Linked DNA regions of Rattus norvegicus. The protein of the gene in region 1 binds, or shares a complex with, the protein of each later gene. Links are inferred from orthologs where the notes say so. Each region holds a gene or a part of one and is shown in the gene's direction. Other genes may lie near its edges.

The links.
Region 2: Ercc2 (region 1) and Polr2d share a complex: the UniProt entries of both Homo sapiens proteins name them as parts of the TBP-based Pol II pre-initiation complex. The link is inferred for Rattus norvegicus from reciprocal best matches to the Homo sapiens genes ERCC2 and POLR2D.

What each region holds. Positions count from the first base shown.
Region 1 is NC_086019.1:88,168,418-88,178,217, forward strand, and holds the end of Ercc2 (general transcription and DNA repair factor IIH helicase subunit XPD), read left to right. Parts: intron 1-1,092; coding exon 1,093-1,162; intron 1,163-1,239; coding exon 1,240-1,309; intron 1,310-1,391; coding exon 1,392-1,493; intron 1,494-2,558; coding exon 2,559-2,622; intron 2,623-2,975; coding exon 2,976-3,097; intron 3,098-4,080; coding exon 4,081-4,173; intron 4,174-4,257; coding exon 4,258-4,330; intron 4,331-4,505; coding exon 4,506-4,576; intron 4,577-4,741; coding exon 4,742-4,885; intron 4,886-5,009; coding exon 5,010-5,153; intron 5,154-5,357; coding exon 5,358-5,450; 3' UTR 5,451-5,651; coding exon of another isoform or gene 5,652-5,723; 3' UTR 5,724-5,884; coding exon of another isoform or gene 5,885-5,948; 3' UTR 5,949-5,987; coding exon of another isoform or gene 5,988-6,304; 3' UTR 6,305-6,386; coding exon of another isoform or gene 6,387-6,477; 3' UTR 6,478-6,685; downstream 6,686-9,800. Other genes in the region: Klc3 (kinesin light chain 3), read right to left, coding at 5,988-6,304, 6,387-6,477, 6,789-6,962, 7,288-7,389, 7,487-7,574, 7,903-8,122, 8,429-8,498, 8,993-9,223. UniProt on the Homo sapiens protein: ATP-dependent 5'-3' DNA helicase. Component of the general transcription and DNA repair factor IIH (TFIIH) core complex, not absolutely essential for minimal transcription in vitro.
Region 2 is NC_086036.1:23,689,319-23,698,783, forward strand, and holds the start of Polr2d (DNA-directed RNA polymerase II subunit RPB4), read left to right. Parts: upstream 1-3,259; 5' UTR 3,260-3,314; coding exon 3,315-3,387; intron 3,388-4,726; coding exon 4,727-4,907; intron 4,908-8,057; coding exon 8,058-8,153; intron 8,154-9,465. UniProt on the Homo sapiens protein: Core component of RNA polymerase II (Pol II), a DNA-dependent RNA polymerase which synthesizes mRNA precursors and many functional non-coding RNAs using the four ribonucleoside triphosphates as substrates.

The sequences.
Region 1 (9,800 bases):
TCTCCTCTGCCCATGTGTTGTGTGTCCCCCACCCCCGCCAGCTTTACACTGAGTTTCAAGCTTATCCCTGGGGATTACTGCAGTATCCAGGAAACCAGGTCAGCTGGCATCCTGCAGCTGGGCCAACCTCAGAAGAATAGATTCCCCCCCACCCCCAACCCCATCAACCCCACTGCAGGGCAGTTGGCCTGCTTCCTTCAGCCCTCACTTAGCCCTCACTTAGCCCTTCTCTTGGCCCACCTTTGTTTTCTGCCTCCCACCATCTACAACCCACTGCAGTCGATTGAAAGCTCCTTCCCCTTCCCCCGTCTCCTGCATGCTGCATGCATCCTTAGCTCTCAGAAAGGCACCCTACCCACCCTCTGCTGGGCCTGCCCCTCCTCTATTCCAGATGTGTCTCAGGTCACTGCTCGCTAGGTAGCCGTCTCCCCTATACAAGGGAGCCCTTGTGGGTGGGACTGAGGCTGTGTTGGTCCCTGCTGTGTCCTTGGCAAGGGCTGGACACGTAAGACCTGGTCATTTGTTGCCAAGTGAAACAGAATCCATGAATGTATTCATTTGTTCAGTCAACAAATGGGCCAGGCCCAGCACTGTCGAAGCAAGAGGATCTAAAAACAGCCTCGTCCTCCCCTTCCAGGAGTCACAGCCTGGGGGAGAACGAGGAGCAAAGATGATTCCAGGTGCCTCTGGAAAGTATGGTGGTGCCAGCACCATAGCACTGGCCTCTGGGGCAGGGACTCAGTCAAGTGGAAACTGGCACAGCAGCTGGTGCAAGGGGTCCCTGCAGATCCATGGCACACCTCTGGGGTCATGGGAAGTGTGCACACTAGCAAACTCGGTTCCATGGCATGTCTCTGGTTGCTGTGTGGGGAGCAGGAGTGGGAGAAACTGGAGGACAGAGCTGCCTGGGGAGTGGGGGCTTGGTCTGTCTGTCTGCAGGGCCATGTAAGGAAGCCCCAACTCATCTGCTTCTGCACCCGAGTATCTGCATGACCCAGCTGTGCAGAAGTGGGCAGGCTGGGGCGGTTCCATCCCTGGATGGTGAGTGTCTGGGGTGATCACAGTGAGACTCCCTGGCTCCCCCTCCACCAGGCTTCACCATTATCATTGAACCCTTTGACGACAGGACCCCCACCATCACCAACCCCATTCTGCACTTCAGGTGAGATGCAGCCCTGCGTGGGTGGGACAGGCCTCGACCCTGCCCTCTGCTCTGTGTGACCCTGTATTGCCCCACAGCTGTATGGACGCCTCCTTGGCCATCAAGCCTGTGTTTGAACGCTTCCAGTCTGTCATCATCACGTCCGGGGTGAGGACTCTGTGCTGTTCCTCCATCAGGGTCCTGGTCTTTGGCCATCCTGCTGAGGTCTCCCTTGCTGTCTCTGTTACAGACACTGTCTCCACTGGACATCTACCCCAAGATCCTGGACTTCCACCCGGTTACAATGGCAACCTTCACCATGACACTGGCCCGAGTCTGCCTCTGCCCAATGGTGAGTGGGTGAGGCAGGTGAGGTCGCCTGCCTCCTGGCTTCAACTACGGCAGCCGGCTGCTCAGCTGAGGCTCAGACCTGGTGGATGCACCAAATTACTAAGTGCTGCCAACATGGGAGGGACCCTCAGGCCCCTTCCCAGCAACATGGCACTTAGACACGTGCGCGCAAAGAGTACGCTGGTGCGACGCAGGCCTGGGCAGCTGGTGTTTGGGCATCATCTTACTGAGGGTGGCTTTGTCATTTGACATCCAGCTGTTTCTTGGGTAATGAGCCTCCCTCTGAAGCCTGGGACAGAGCTGTCCCCTCAGCCTCATGACCTTTCCAGTTCAGAGCCCCACAGCTCTCTAGGCGTGTTCACCCCAGGGCCTCGAGTCACAGCAGCCAAGGGAAGCCTGGCACAGAATCACATGCCCTGGAAAACCTTACTGTGGGGAGGGCTTGTAGCTGGGTCACCTGCTTATTGAGCACAGGCGTTGTGGAGGGCCACGTCAGAGGCTGCCTGCCTGCAGGCCTCTCGTCTCTGCAGCAGGGTTGGCTGCAGAGGGTTGCTAATGGGATGTATGCTGTGGCGTGACCTGTGTCTGGAACTGCCCAAGGCTGGAATATAGCACTACTTAAAAGCACAGAAGTCCTTCCCCAGGGCTTGTTGCTGTGTGACTGTGTGAGTGGCTCATGGTTGAGCTCTAGGCATTTGTCCAAGCAGTGCCAACCATAGGCTTAGGCCACGTGACCTACTGTATCCATACAGAGACTTAGGCCATGTGATCTGCTGTCCCCGTACATAGGCTTCCCTGAACTCGGGCCTTATTTGATCCAGTGCTTGCCTATCATGCACGGGGCACTCATCTCAAATCTGGGAGAGGGGCAGGAGAACCAGGATCACCTTGGCTACACAGAACTTCAGGGGGTTGGAGAACAGCCTTCTCATGGGCTTGGGAGGATGGAGAGCCTTGGGGAGGCTCCTAATCTGAAGGCCAGCCTGGGCTACATGAGACACCATCTCAAGCAAGGGGGTTTTGACTGTCATTGTGTTTACACTGTCCTTAACTCTGACTCTTCCAGATCATTGGCCGTGGTAATGACCAGGTAGCAATCAGTTCCAAATTTGAGACCAGAGAAGATATCGGTGAGTCACCCGGAGGCTTGGTCGGGTGGGTCTCAGGTGGCCTAGGACCTGTGCCATCGCAAGACCCCAGTCTCTATGGCTAGCACAGGGGGCCTTCCCACCCTCAGCGCCCTGGGTCTCTTCATTTGGAGATCTGCACTACCACTGAGTTAAGCACATAGCACAGGGCCCCTGGGACTTTGGGCACTGGCTCCTGAGGGTCACATGGAAGAGACAACCACTCCACTTGTTTCTTGTGCTGTCATAAGTTTCATGGTCTTGATATCAGGGATGCTTGGGAGAATGAATTGGGAATATGGGTATGTGGCCTCAGTGGGAGGCAGGAGAGTCCAGTCTCTACCCTACTCTTATAGCTGTAATCCGCAACTATGGCAACCTCCTGCTGGAGATGTCTGCCGTGGTCCCTGATGGCATCGTGGCCTTCTTCACCAGCTACCAGTACATGGAAAGCACTGTAGCCTCCTGGTATGAGCAGGTAACGCCTGCCCACTGCCGCCCACACTCTCAGCTCTGCTCTTCCTGTGGCTTCACCCACTCTTTCTACTGGTGACGACATGTCACAGGGTGGGACAGTGATGCCAACAGCACCCCTACCCTGCCTGTCCCCACCACAGGGGACTATCCCACCTTTGGGGTTCGTGTGCTGCAGTGCTCCTGGGGTCACTGCAGACTACATCCTAGCAAGAAGGCTTGGTGCTAGGATGTGCAGATTCTGGAGGGCTAAGCTAGATCAGGAGCTCTCAAACCTGTGCGGTTGGATGGAGCCGTGGGGTTCTATGCCGCATGGGGATGCTCTTCTGTCTTGTGACTGCTGAGCCCAGCTTTCAGGCCTAGTTTGAGCAGGCACTGTAGACTGGGTGTGTCTCAGGCAGGGCGTGTCCCAGTGAGGGGCTGTAGAATGGTGGAGCAAGCATACGTGTAACATGTACAGGCCATTATCCCAGTCAGTCCCTGGTTCTGAGAACAGAAACCTGCCAGCCTGACTGTTGAAGCCAGAGTCTGTGTCTCTGAGACACAACAGTCTCACTGGGCTCGGTGAGATAGGGTCAGAGTTCATTTCTTCTCAAGTAAAACTCCCTCCCGTATTTAGCATCTTTGGTAGAGTGTGCTCACTGGGCTACACAGGTAACCCTGCCTGGTCTCTCTGAACCCAGAGTCTGTTCTGGTGGGCTGCCTGATTTTGTCTCTGTCCCTCGCTCACCACTGCAGTGACAGATTTGGTCTGAGGACGGCCTGGTTGGTCCTGCCGTGGTTGTCAGCAGACCCTCCACCAGTCACTTGCCACTCTGGGGCCTCTTGCCCACCTTGGGTGGTGATTGGCTCCCCACTTTAGGCTGCCAATGAGGTTGGACAGCTGGGGGCCTAGAGAAGGGTCTTCATGGAGGCCATAGCAGTGGGGCTGAAATTGGAGTGCTTGACTCTGTGTGGCTTGAGCCCTGACCTCCCTGTCACCCCCAGGGCATCCTTGAAAACATCCAGAGAAACAAACTGCTCTTCATTGAGACCCAGGATGGGGCTGAGACCAGTGTGGCCCTGGAGAAGTACCAAGAGGTGAGTGCCTGGGACAGGCAGGGGAAGGCCGGCAGCCAACAGGTGTGGGAGAGGGCTGAGAAGTGACTGTTTCCACCTCCCTAGGCATGTGAGAATGGCCGCGGGGCCATTCTGCTCTCAGTGGCTCGGGGCAAAGTATCAGAAGGGATTGACTTTGGTGAGTAGACCTGGCCGTTAGTCAAGGGGCCAGCCCACCCTACCACTGCTGCTCCCTTGGGGACCACTGGGCACACAGGGATTCTGTCCCCTTTCCACACCCTGGGGTGACCTAAGCACGTGCCTTAGCCCCAGCCAGCCCAGCGCGCACTGTAACCTTGCGTTCCTGCCCGCAGTGCACCACTATGGGCGGGCCGTGATCATGTTTGGCGTCCCCTATGTTTACACCCAGAGCCGAATTCTCAAGGTGAGTGGGGGAATCAGTGATGTCCTGGTGGTGGTGGTGGTGGTGGTGGTGGTGGTGGTGGTGGTGGTGGTGGTGGTGGTGGTGGTGGTGGTGGTGGTGGTGGTGGTGTCGTCGTCTTGTGGTGGGGAAGGGCAGGCTCTCCACCTCAACCTCCTTGTCCCCCAGGCCAGGCTAGAGTATCTGCGGGACCAGTTCCAGATCCGAGAGAATGACTTCCTCACCTTTGATGCCATGCGCCATGCAGCGCAGTGTGTGGGTCGCGCTATCAGGGGCAAGACAGACTATGGACTCATGGTCTTTGCTGACAAGGTGGGGTTCAGGGTTTTTGGGCACCCCAATCCAGCTAGCCCAACTTCTTCCTCACAGGGTACAGGGTAGTAGGCAGCCTGGGCTCCAACCTGGGGTCTAACATCCTTCCCCTCCCTCCTCACAGCGGTTTGCTCGAGCTGACAAGCGTGGGAAGCTGCCTCGATGGATCCAGGAGCATCTGACTGACTCCAACCTCAACCTGACCGTGGATGAGGGTGTACAGGTCGCCAAGTACTTCCTGCGGCAGATGGCACAGCCCTTCCACCGGGTAAGCCTGGGCCCCGCACGCTTCTCCCGCCACCAGGTGTGCACATGCTTCCTAGTCACCTCAGGCCCCATATTCAGGAGGTAAAGGACAGGTGAGAGCGCTAGTTCCCTTTTCCTAGTCTGGCCGTGTGCTCCAGCCACCGGACACTCTCAGTCACGTAGTTGGATGCGAGCTGACGCCTGTCCTTTGCCTCTGTCCCCTCAGGAGGATCAGTTGGGTCTGTCACTGCTCAGTCTGGAGCAGCTGCAGTCCGAGGAAACACTACAGCGAATTGAGCAGATTGCACAGCAGCTCTGAACACGGGACTGTGGCTCCCGGGAAGTGAGGGAAGGTCCCAGGGCCCCCGGCGAACACCCAGTGCCAGTGCACAGCCTTTAATTGCAGGGAGGATCACAGGGTCCCTCCCCATCCTCACATGCTGCCCAGGCAGGGTGCAGGGAGACCACCCACCCACCCTTCCTGATCCCTGAGAAGCTGTGACCACTGCAGCCAGTCCACTTAGCGCGGGCTCAAATCCTGCGTGCTGGCGCTGAGGGTCCGAGAGGCCTCATTCAGGTGCTGGGTTGAGAGCTGGGACAGGCACAGGTTAGAGTTCTTTTCCAGTTGACACTGGAGCCATTTCATGCCCTACCCACCAACTCACCCCTACATTGAGGCCCCAGGAGGCCGCCCCACCTTTCCCGTCTTGCTGAGCCTGCCAACAGCACCCTACTCCATCACTGGCTCCTCACCTGCATCCTGGCAGCCCTTGGACCATCGACGTTCAGCATATTGAGTGACATGGCTCTCTTCATCCTGAAGAGGAGCCCAAAAAGACAGGTGTGAGTTGGGAAGCTACAGGTCCCTGACTCTGACCAGTGTCACTGAGGCTGATGTCATGGAAGGTTCTTGGCAAGCTCCTGAGCTCACCCAGCACTCACCCTGCAGCCCCTGCCATGCTCTCCCCTCGGAGGCGGGAGACCAGCTTCTCACTTCCACGCCGGATGGACTCTCTGAGCTTAGAGAAGGAACTGCTCCTGCGTAGGACCTGGGGAGGGCACAGTGACCTGTGGCCATGGTGGAGGCCCACCCAGACCAGACCCAAAAGGACCTAAGGCACAGCCTGCTTACCTGCTGTTGTGCTTCACCTGCTGTGCCTCCCTGGGGGGCTCCTGAGGGACAGAAGGGACATGGAGGTGGGAGTGAGGAACGCCACACAGGAGGGTGTGCAGGAGGGTGCAGGGGTGGGCTCACCAAGCGGGGCAGGCAGGGCCTCCTGGCTGAGGATCTCCTTGTATAGCTCCTCTGCCTGCTGATACTTGTTCTGCTTCAGGTAGGCCGAGGCCTGCGGGGAGGGAGGGTAGGGGCAGGGCGTGGGCATCTTGTTTAGGCCTGGGAACTTCTCAGACCTGCCCGCCTTCCCCAGCATCCTGCCTCAGCTTACTACAGCGCAGAGCCAGTCCTGCATCTCTGCGCTGGTCTCCTACCTCAGTGGGTGAAATGTTTGGGGTCACCCCCCATGACCACAGTAAAATCTGACACAGGACTCTGAACTGGGGTTTGCTTCTGGTTTTTGTACTGAAGGGCCTGCAGGAGCCCGTGGTCTCTTCCCTCCCTACAGAACCCCCAGGACAGGACACACCCGACATGCCTTACCAGGTTGTTCTTGGTCTTAGCCACATTTGGGTCTTGTGGTCCCCCCAGGGCCTCGTAGATACTCAGGGCCCTTGCATAGTGCCGCTCCACATCCTGAAACTTGCCCTGGTTCTGGCACAGCAGGGCCAGGTTGTTGAGCTGCTTGGCCACATCAGGGTGGTCAGCACCCAGGACCTAGGGTACACAGAAGCCATCTGTCACATAGGGTAGCTGGTGAGATGCCACTGTCTTTCCAGGGTCCCGGGCTGGGAATATAGGAACAGAGTGGAAGTTAAGGGGGAGTGGAGATTAGTGAAGTTAGAGGTCATGGGGTACGGAGTCCGGCTAATCAGCAAAGATGTGAAAGGGTGCAGGGGTCAAAGTCAGGATTGGACTGTGAGCTCACTAAGGTCACAAGGTTGGGCGCTCTGGGCTCAAATGAGGTGGACTTGCCACCAAACGCAAGGCGTGGCAGGTAGCTTGAAGTACCAGTGATGGGGAGCAGGGCTGGGCACAGCACCTTCTCACGGATCTCCAGAGCACGCTGGCAGAGGGGTTCTGCCTCCCGGTAACGGCCACGTTTTCCGTAAAGGACTGCCAGGTTGTTGAGGGTGGCGGCCACCTGTAGGAAGACAGTTGTCGAAGGAGGAGGGCCCTGCAGCTCACCCTCCTGAGTCCATCTCCCCCCAAAACACACCCCCTCCCTGAACTCCGCTCACTGCAGGGTGTTCAGGACCCAGCGTCTGTTCCCGGATCTGCAGGGCGTCGTGAAGAAGCTCCGTGGCCTCCTTGTACTTGTTCTGGTCCCTGCAGGGCAGGGACGGAAGGCTGGGCTAAGCTGGTGTCACAGGCTGAACTGAGCCAGGAATGACTGGCATCCTTCAGGGGGCCCCCTTTCTCACACCTCTCAGGCCTCTAGCTCTGGGTCCCCACATTGCCAGCCCTGTTAAGCATCATGTCTCATGTCCCTTGCATTCTCTGGTGCCCAAATTCTAGATTCCGGCTTTCACTGCCTCTCTAGGTCTCTGTTCCTTTCACTTTCCTGTCCCCACCCTAGGTGCTTTACCTAGTCAGGGGGTTGCAGTGTCCCCCACTATCCCAGGTGGAGTCTGGCCCAATTAGCCACAGCCCTCACCTGTACACAAGTGCCAGGATGTTGAGCATGGTGGCCACGTCAGGGTGGCAGTGGCCTGAGCTCCGCTCCAGGTCCTCCAAGGCCTGGCGACACAGCGGAACTGCCACCTCATAGCGGCCCTGGCTAGCATACTGGATCACCAGGTTGTGCAGAGTCCGCAGACGAGCTGGGATCTCATAGCCACCCTGCTGCGCTGCTGCTGCTCCTGCTGCCTCAGGACCTGGGGGAGGTGGTGTAGAGTCAGCCACAGTGGGCCTCAGCCTGTACCCCACAGCCACCTCTCGGAGTATGGCCTTGTGCTGACAGGACACAGGGATTTCAGAAATCTAACCAGCCAGTGGCATGTTAGGTGCCAGAACCGAACATGACTGACTTCCAGCTTCCAATGTCCCTGCTCATCAGAGCCACTTGCTTCCCCTCCTCAGAGGCCTCAGTGTCCCTTAGGGCAAGGCTCTTGCCCCAGGCTTAGCCTATAGTCCTGCGTGGTTACCCTCTGATATCGTGCCCAGGGCTCCCACACACCCACCTTTCTTTTCCTCCTCTTCACTGGGGAAGAGAGAAGCCAGGCTGTCTCGGCGAGGCGGGGAATCCGGCCTCTGTGGTAAACAGGAAAGAGTATTTCTGAGAATGTCAAGTGTTGGAGGCTGAAGCCCTGAAGCTACATCAAGCCGGCCTGTGTAGCTTTCTGGTGTTTAGGACAGGGGCTCATTGCGTAGACTAGCTGGCCTGCCTCTGCCTTCAAAGTGCTGGGCTTAAAGGCATGCCACCATGCCTGGCTCCAGGACTGGTATATTTATGAGGCAAGAGTCTCACTACAATGTAGCCCAGGTTGGCCTAGAACTCACAGCATCCTCCCAGCCTCAGCCATAGTAGCTCTGAGCTTGACAAAGGCGTGGGATGAGAGCCTTAGAGGTTTCAGTGAGCTGGGAGAAGACCTGAAAGCCCTAGGGAGCATTGAGGGGATTTTGGAAGCTCACTTAGGTATGGGGATTTAGGGACCCCGTATGTACTTGAAGGGCTATGAGGCGATGAGTACTAAGGAAGACTCAAGGGCATCCTGGAGCTCCGTGGAGGACCCTGCCCCTGCTACCTGGCTCTCCTCGGGCGGGTCATACTGCCTCAGCTGCCCCAGGAACTGAAGGTGGCTTTTCTCCTCTTCCAGCTGGGCCACAGCCTCCTCACTGGCCCGCAGTCGCCTCTGTGTCTCCTCCAGCTCCTCTCGAAGCCATGTGTTCTCTTGGGCTAGCCTCCGTGCCTGTGCCCGTAGCCTCTGCTTCTCAGCCTCCAACACACCCACGTGTGCAGACAGGGCCAGCAGCACCTGCGGAGCACTGACCCATGAGTAGGAGTGGATTCGTCCAAGGACAGCCCCAGCCCCAGCCCAGGTTTTACATTAAGTCACACATACCCATTCTACACAGTTTCCCCCAGATTCTCAAGACACCCTGCTATGTGGCTCTGATAAAGTTAAGAGTTTCCCAGAAATTCCTGACTTCACCTAAATTACACATAGGACTAATTCCTATTCCAGCTATGAAAGCCAGCAGCACCTGCCTAACAGGAGCGTGGCTCAGTGTAGAGCCCCTGCCTAGAATCCCCCAGGGAGGGGCTGGGGGCGTGGCTCAGTGGTAGAGCCCCTGCCTAGGATCCCCCAGTGAGGGGCTGGGGGCGTGGCTCAGTGGTAGAGCCCCTGCCTAGGATCCCCCAGTGAGGGGCTGGGGGCGTGTCTCAGTGGTAGAGCCCCTGCCTAGAATCCCCCAGTGAGGGGCTGGGGGCGTGTCTCAGTGGTAGAGCCCCTGCCTAGAATCCCCCAGTGAGGGGCTGGGGGCGGGGCTCAGTGGTAGAGCCCCTGCCTAGAATCCCCCAGTGAGGGGCTGGGGGCGGGGCTCAGTGGTAGA
Region 2 (9,465 bases), on another chromosome or scaffold:
CAAAATACATTAATTCCTCCTAAGGCCATGCCCCCAATATCTAAGGGCATCCCACTAGACCTCAGTTCTTTTTAAAAATTCATTAAAGCAATTTTTATAGTTTGCATGTATGCACACATATATGCCTCTGGTGCATGTATGGAGGTCAGAGGACAACTTTTGGGAGTCGGTTTTCTCCTACCAATTAAATTCAGTTCCTCTGGCTTAGTAGAAAGTGCCTTTAGACACCAAGACATCTCTCTCTCTCTTTCTGTGTATGGATGTTCATGTGTCTGCAGGTACACGTGTGTCCATGTACATGGCAGAAAATGATATTGGATCCCTATTCAGGAATGCCATCCAATTTCTTTGAGGCAGGTCTCTCACCATCCTTGATTTACACGGCCCGAGAGCTCTTGGGATTGTATATATCTTCTTCCTCTCAGGGCTGGGATAATGAGCACTTTATGTGGGTTCTTATGATCTGTAACAAGGGTGCTGGTGGCCCTGATACTGACAAAGAACTGAGGGGTTGGGGATTTAGCTCAGTGGTAGAGCGCTTGCCTAGGAAGCGCAAGGCCCTGGGTTCGATCCCCAGCTCCGAAAAAAAGAACCAAAAAAAAAAAAAAAAAAAAAAAAAAAGAACTGAACACCAGGGACAGACAGAAGACCAAGCCCTGGAGAGGGGGGAAGTAAAAGGAATAAAAGCCTAACACTTGGAACTCCTGAGTAGACTGTGGTTTGAATATTTTCTGGGGCCCCTGGGATCGCCTCTTCCTGTTTAGATGCCCGTCCTCATGCTCCTCTGCCATTTCTCCCAATGAGAAATGTTCTTCTGTGAACATGGAATCTAAGGGAGGCTGCTTTTCCTTTCCTTGTCCACTCATATCCCTCGAACTTTCTCCCAGATGAAATCTGGGTCCGCATGCTGGCAAAAGCAAGCACTGTCATAACTGAACCTCCTCTCCAGTTCTAGTCCCTACCTCCTACGCAGTTCTGACTTCCAGGACACGAAGCTTTAGGAGACACATTTAAACTACAGCCAAACATCGGACTCTTGATCTTTCCTTAGCACCTTCTTTGACTGTGTTACATCACCCGTCAGATATTGCACTCGCTACTCTTAGTGAGCTCATGTTCGGGACAGATTTTTACCCTACTCATCATTTTAACCTCATGGACTTACAGATGGCTTATAATGGCTTCCTAAATGAAAATGGTACACATGGGCCAACCTGGGAAATGTCACTTTATGTTTTTGTTACTCTTGTTTTCTCTCTCTATGCCTGGTGACTTCTCTCCTCCTCCCTCCTTTCATGCCTCTGTGTGTGTGTGTGTGTGTGTGTGTGTGTGTGTGTGTGTGTGTGTATGTGCGTATGTGTATATATGTGTGTGTATGTATGTGTATGTGTATATGTGTGTATTATGTGTATGTGTGTATATATGTGTGTATGTATGTGTATGTGTATATGTGTGTATTATGTGTGTATGTATGTGTATGTGTATTATGTGTGTGTGTGTGTGTGTGTGTGTGTGTGTACTGAATCTCAAGTCCATTTCTACTACCTAGGTGCAGTATGACTATGAACTACTGCCCTGAATATCTTTGCAGGAGTTCTGATAAGCTGGAGCATGTCTGTTATAAAGGTCTTATGCTTTAAGGTTTATTTATGAGTATGGGTATTTTGTCTACATGTATGTCTGCACACTAGAACACCATGGACAATAGTTATAGACTGTGCGAGACACCATGTAGATGCTAGGAACTGAATCCATGACCTCTGTAAGAGCAGCCATGCTCTTAACTGCTGGGAGGTCTCTCCAGTCCCTGTTGTGATTTCTCACATGCTGTTCAGGAAAGCACCGAGAAATGGTTAAAAAGCTGTCAATACTATATAACCATTTATTTTAACCAATGCATTCCTTCTACAAATATAGATACACAGCAGTTTTGTAAAACTCATTTTATTTACAAACCAAAAGACTACCTATTCTTGGACCAGTGAGATCATGCAGCAGATAAAGGCCCTGAGTTCAATCCCCAGAATCTATGCAAAACTGGAAACAGAGAACAAATTCCACAAAATTATCCTCTAATCTCTTCTGTGCACCTCTGTATATATAATAAAAATACATTTTCTTGTCTTGTAATAAATACTTCTATCAATTTTTAAAAAGATTTATTTTCTGTGTATGTGAAGGGTGTGTATGGTGTGTTTCACCTCCAAAAGAGAGACCAGAAAGGGTTTAGATCCCTTGTAGCTGAAGTCACAGGTGTTTGTGAGCCATCTGGTGTGGGTGCTGGGAAATGAACCCAGGCCCTCTGAAAGCATCAAGTGTTAACCACAGAGCCACCTCTCCAGCCCATTTTTTATTAAGTTACAGGGTTTACTAGTGTTCACTAATGACCCAAAAACTGGAGAAGTGTTTGTCCCCCTTATTGTATAGACTTTTGTTTCTCTTTAAATTGAAAATATCACTTTTTCATTTAGCTTTCTACTTATTCAAATGTCTCAACAGATATGATAAAGGGTTCTCAATATTAAACTTCACCTGCTCAGAATTGTTAAATACACAGGAACAATTTAACAGGATGGTATGTTACCTAAACTGGCATGGATTCTTGGGAATTTGCTAAGTAGCCACGCCTCTTTGTGAATTTTTTTTTTTTTTTTGAGACAAGATCTCACTATGTAGCCCTGGTTTTATATCACTTTGTAAACCAGGCTAGTCTCAAATTCAAAAGATCCACCTGCCTTTGCCTGCCTCGGGCATGCTAGGATTAAAGGCATGCGCCACTACAAACTGATCTCCTTCAACTCTTGATCCTCGCGCTCAGTGATTGATTCATTACCACCACACAGGGGTTAGTCTTTTTTTTTTTTTCTTAAGACACAATTCAATCATTGAAAGAGATTTCAGTATGTTTCTGTAGTCACCTACCCAGCTTTTCAACATAGGACATTCCTTGGATCAGCCACTTAGTTCAGTCCTGCACCTCACTTTCTTCTGAAATGGCTTACTTGACGCTCCCAGGTGCCACGGCAATAGTGTGTTGCCGAAAATAAACACTTTAATCTCCAAGCAGGCAGCACAGAACCACACCTCCAACGACCGGAAGCCGCTAGACTGCGCCCGGACCGCCCCTGTCGCGGGCAGTCTCGCGGGTTTCCCCTAGTGTGATAGCAGGGTGCCTGACCTACCGTCGTCCGCCCGCTTTCTCGGCCCCGCCCATTCACTTGGCCCCACCCCGGAGCCGGATTGGTTCTTTTCCTTAGAAGAGCCCGTCCGTGCGGCTTCCGTCTCCGGCAGTGTCTGTGGCAGTGCGCAGGGCGATGGCGGCAGGTGGAAGCGATCCTCGAGCTGGCGACGTAGAAGAAGATGCTTCCCAGCTCATCTTTCCCAAAGGTAGTATCCGGGACAGTTCGACTCTGAGGTGACATTGTCCTTGAGTTATAGTCGTTATCCGTTCCCTGCCCACAGGGAGCATTCGGGGCCGGCACGGGGGATTGATTGGTCAGCCCGGTACAAATGAACCCTTTCGTAGTTAATTCCCCTACACCCAGCAGTTTTGTTTTTGTGAGAGCGTCTAATTAGGTATCCTAGGCTAGCCTCCACCTTATCACATTCGTGCCCTTTCCTCTTGAGTGCTAGAATTAAAGGCATGCGCCATCGCTCTTGATTTTTAGGGGGAGTTAAGCTATGCCTTTTCCTGTCATGCAGAAGATCTGGAGCAGAGGTCTCATTTCAAAATTGGCAGCCAGTAAAAGCTGAGCTATGGTTCCTCTCACAGTGCTAGTCAAAGCGTTTCAAGATCTGTGGGTCAGAAGTGCTCTCTGCCCTGGCCTCTGAGGAGAGATGCTGTTGCCGTTGGTTTCTGAACCTTCGTTGTAGCTTTTCGAGTTAGGAAGAACGTTTGAGAGCAAGATGGGTTCCGGTTTGGGATGTCTGGTACTTCCTTTTGTCGGATGTGTGCCAGCCTCTGTGCATAGTGCTGTTCCTGCTACTAAACTAGTCTAAACTAGTCACCTTGCCCCAGGAAATCAATCCCCTGTCTCTTCCTACCAACTGTTAGATATAGGAACCCTCTGTACCTGTTTTGTGGGTTCTGAGGATCCTAACTCTGCTTCTTACACTGGAGTGGCAAGTACATTATCCACTTAATCATCTGCCCAGCCCCAGCAAGTGAGGTTATCTTCTGTCTTTTGTGTGTGTTTTTAATTGAGATGGAGAATCTTTGTTTTTAAATTTTTATATATAAGGATTATTTTGCCTGCGTGTAGGTCTGCATGCATGTGAGGTGTCCATAGAAGCCAGATGTACTAATTGGACTTAAAAGATGATTTCGAGCCATCTTGTTGGTGCTGTGTGTGGCAGAACCCTTATCCTCTAGAAGATTAGCCAATGCTCTTAAGTGCGGAGCTGTCGTCTCTCCAGCCCTTATGTCACTGTTGTAAAATTTATTTTTATTTTAATTATGTCTGTGCAGGTATCTGAGGAGGGGAGAGGTGCTATGAGGTGTCTGATGGGGTGCTGAGAATTGAACTTCCTTCGAAAGAGCAGTGCATGCTCATTTCTCTAGCCTTCTGGTTTCGTTTGTTTGGTGTTTTTGAGTCTCTCTGGCTATCTTACAGCTCATCAATAATAGACCAGGCTGGCCTCAAACACAGAGATCATCCTGCCTCTGCCTCCCAAATGCTGAGACTTTGAAAAGAGTATTTTCAGTTCACATTTATTCTTCTTCCAGAGTTCGAAACAGCTGAGACGCTCCTGAACTCTGAAGTTCACATGCTTCTGGAGCACCGAAAGCAGCAGAATGAGAGTGCGGAGGACGAACAGGAGCTTTCAGAGGTTTTCATGAAAACCCTGAACTATACAGCCCGTTTCAGCCGGTTCAAAAACAGAGAGACCATTGCCAGTGTTCGTAGGTGAGTACTGAACATAAGCCCAAAACTAAAATCTACTTATGTATGTGTTATGGGAGTTTGGCTGCTTGTATGTCTGTGCACCATGTGTGTAAACACCCACAGAGGCCAGAATAGGGCGTTAGCTCCCCAGGGCTGGAATTACGGACAGTCGTGAGTCACTGTGTAGGTGCTGGGACTCGAAACCCAAGTCCTCTGAAAGAGCAGCTGGTGCCCTCAGCTGCTGAACCGCATCTCCAGCCCTACAAAACGGTTTTATTATTATAGACTCTCGTGAAAGACAGAGGCTGTAGGATCCAGGAGTTCAAGGGCATCCTTAGGGGCATAGTAGGTTCAAAGCCAGCCTTGATTGCATGAGACGCTGTTTTAAAAATGCTAACAAAGCAGGGGCCGCTGAGATGGCTCAGTGGGTAAAACATGCTTCAGCCAAGAGGTGGTGGTGCACCCCTTTAACCCAGCACTCAGGAGGTAGAGGCAAGCATATCTCTGAGTTCGATGCCAGCCTGGTCTATAGAACAAACAAACAAATGCAACCAAAAGTGCTTTCTGGGTAAGTCTTAGGACCTGAGCTTATATAGAACCCCAGATGCACCCAGAAGCTCTGAGAATGAATGAGAAGTTGCCTTCTAAGTATGTATGCTTACGCACTTACACATACACACAAATGGCTAAATAAACAGACCACACACAAATACTTAGGGGAAAAACAAACAAACAAACAAAAAAACCCTAACTGGGTATGCCTTTAATCCCAGAATTTGAGAGACAGAGACAGGAGAATCTCTGTTTGACTCCAGCCTGGTCTACATAGCAAGTTCCAGGACTACATAGATAGAACCTGTTAAAAAAAAGTAATCAAGGGCTTGAAGCCCCCACCCCCACCCCCAAATTTTGCCTACCAGAAAAAAGGCTCTCAGACTTGACTCAGTCAAAATTTTCTCCACTGCATCACAAATTCTGGGGTTACTAGTATATGCCATCATGCACTCGCTGCCCTCCAGGTACGATTTCTTGTATTCATTTTTATTTTATTATTTTTTTTATTGGATATTTTATGTATTTACATTTCAAGTGTTATCCCCTTTCCAGTTTCCCCTCTGGAACTCCTCTATCCCATCTCTCCAACCCCTGCTTCTACGAGGGTGCTCCCCCACCCACCCACTCCCAGCTCACTGCCCTGGCATTCCCCTATACTGGGACATCCAGTCTTTGCAGGACCAAGGGCCTCTTCTATTGATGCCAGACAATGCCATCCTCTGCTACATATGTAGCTGGAGACATGGGTCGCTCCATGTGTATTCTTTGGTTGGTGGTTTAGTCTCTGGGAGCTCTGTGGGGATGGAATCTGGTTGGTTGATATTGTTCCTGTAGGGTTGCAAACCCCTTTGGCTCCTTTAGTCCTTTATCTAACTCCTCCATTGGAGACCTTGTGCTCAGTCCAGTGGTTGGCTGTGAGCATCTGCCTCTGTCAGAGCCTCTCAGGAGACAGCTATATCAGGCTCCAGTCAGTATGCACTTGGCATCAGCAATATTATTTTTATTTTATACACACACATACACACACACACACACACACACACACACACACACACACACACACATGAGGGGGCGGGGAGAGGGGATTTCTTTATATAACTTGGATATATATATATGTGTATATATATATGTGTGTATATATATATATATATATATATATATTTTTTTTTTTTTTTTTTTTTTTTTTTTTTTGAGGCAGAGTCTCATTATCTAGCCCCGGCTGGTCTAGAACTCCATATTAGACCAGGTTGTTTTCTATCTCACAGAGATCCACCTGTTTTGAGATTAAAGGTGTCGAACACCACACTGTCTTTTGTTTTTTAGAAAAAATTTATATTATTGTCATCGTTATTATTACTGAGACAGATTTGTATCTCTGTTTAGTGAAGAGCATGCTGTGTAGACCAGGCTGCTGTGAATGTGTGCTATTAGGCACAGAAAATCATTTTTTGTTATTTTGTTTATATGTATATACACGCTTGTATATATGTGCACCATGTGTGTTCAGTGCCAGCACTAGCAGAGGCCAGAGAGGAGTTGTAGACACATGGACCCACCCAGTGCAGTTGTTAACTCAAGTCCTCTGAAAATTAGCAGATGCTGTTACTGCCGAGCCATTTTTCCAGTCCCCCAGAGTATATAAGTTCTTACTACATTCATTTGGAAACCAAACTTATTCTCTCGTAAGCTTTATTTTATAGTGCAGGCTATGGAGATCCTGAAGGTGCAGCTTACACACAGATTTGCACAGAGTTTGGGGTATTTCAAAGTTAAAGGAGAGGAGTTTCCCTCAACATACGCAATAGGCTAGCCAATCAGATCTCCTGAATTGCTTAACATTAACTTATCAAAGGTAGCAGATAGAGCAAAGAGCTAGAGAGTCACTTCCTTTTGAATATTTATTTATTTTTTTTTCTTTTCTTTTCTTTTTTTTTTTTTTGGAGCTGGGGACCGAACCCAGGGCCTTGTGCTTGCTAGGCAAGCGCTCTACCACTGAGCCAAATCCCCAGCCCCTTGAATATTTATTATTGCATTTTATTTTATGTGTGTGTTTGCCTCTGCACCACACAAGTGCCTAGTACTGGCAGAGTCCAAAGAGGGGTATCAGATCCAGTGGATCTGGAATTTCAGACAGTTGTGAGCCACCATGTGGGTACTGTAAATTGAACCCGGGACCTCTGAAAAGAGCAACTCTCAACTACTGGTTTCTTGGCAGTAGTTACAGCACATACATTCCTCTTTACCCAGCTGTGCTCTTCTCAGGGTTCTTGGCTGTCTACGGTGGGTTCTTTGTTTTCTTTTTCTGGAACGTCTTGATTTTCTGGGGTAGGAACAGAAAGTGATTTCAAAGGGGGATTCTGATGCCCATATAGCCACAATCAAAGATTATAAATACCTTTTCTCACCTACATTTGATCTTTTTGCTATTGATGGACTTAGCATTTGACCAGCACTGAATGAGACTGTAGTTTTTTGTTTCGTATTAGCATATAACTGCAGGTAATTACAGGTTCCATTGTGACATTTTTATTCAGGTATATAGTATAGTATAGATCGTGCTCATTTCCTGTCTCTGTCCCTCTCTAACGTCCTGTGTTCTATTTCCCTCACACTCAGCCTGCTTCTCCAGAAGAAGTTACATAAGTTTGAATTGGCTTGTTTAGCCAATCTGTGCCCGGAGACTGCTGAGGAGTCCAAAGCGCTGATTCCAAGGTTCGTACGGGATGGGATGGGGTTTGTCTATTTTATATGGATTTCTCTAAGTCAGATTGCTAGATCCACATGTCGTAAGCGTTTAGCAGTTGGGTTGATGCCATGCTAGCGTTGAGTAAGAGTGTAGTTGAGTGGTGTTTGAGATGGGACTTGGGGGTTGGTTTTGTGCTTTGCTGGTGGCAGTCTCAGGTAGCCAAGGCTTTCCTTGAGCTCTTGATTGCCCTGCTTTCACCTCAAGGGCTGGGATTACAGGCATGAACGAGCATGCTGGCTTAAGAATAGTTTGAGTTTACCCATTAATTGTTTGTGTGCATGTGTACACACGCATGCCTGTGAATGTCACATTAAGCACGTGAGGGTCAGTGGACAGTTTCTCTTCGTTTACTAGGTAGGTTCCCAGATTAAACTCAGGTTGTTAGATTTGGTGGCAGACAACCTTTATTAGCTGAACCATCTTGGAAGCCTGAGAACAATTGTCTTTTTTTTTTCCCTCTATTCTTTTTTTCGGAGCTGGGGACCAAACCCAGGGCCTTGCGCTTGCTAGACAAGCACTCTACCACTGAGCCAAATCCCCAACCCGAGAATAATTGTCTTATACCCCAGGACAGGAAGAATATGGAACAGAAGAGGGTGGTAGGAATATAGCTCAGTGGTAGAACTTTTTGCCTATCGTGTCTGGGACTGAGTTTGAGCTCCCAGTACCTCAGAGAGGAGCATTAGAAATGGGCAGAATTCGCCTTCCTGTAGGGAGTAGCCAAGCATGTGACTATATCTAGAGAAATCAATGGGAAATGGGACTTCTCCCAGACCTAAAAGGTATTCTGGGATTCTGTGTTATTGGTATAGAAGATATTGGACATAATCATTAAGTCACTCAACAAATGAGACACAAAACTGCAGGGCCTGGGAGTGTGTGTTTTTAATCCCAGCAGAGGCAGGCAGATCCCTGTGAGTTCTAGGGTAGCCAAGGCTGCATAATGAGACCTGGTCTCAAAGAAAAGACTAAGCTATACCAACCAAACAAAAGTTTAAATCATATGTGACTGTTGAAGCTTTTAGAATCTTTTTTTTTTTTCCTCTTGGAGTTGGGGACCGAACCCAGGGCCTTGCGCTCGCTAAACGAGCGCTCTACCACTGAGCTAAATCCCCAACCCCTAGAATCTTTTATATATTTACAACCTTTTGGTGCTTCTATAAGGGATGTCAAAAGAAATTCGGTTTAAACTTAAAGGTAGTAGAGCTAAGCAAGGTGCTCAGAGATGAACCTCCTTTGAAAAACAGGGTGGGGGGCTGGAAAGATGGCTCAGTGGTT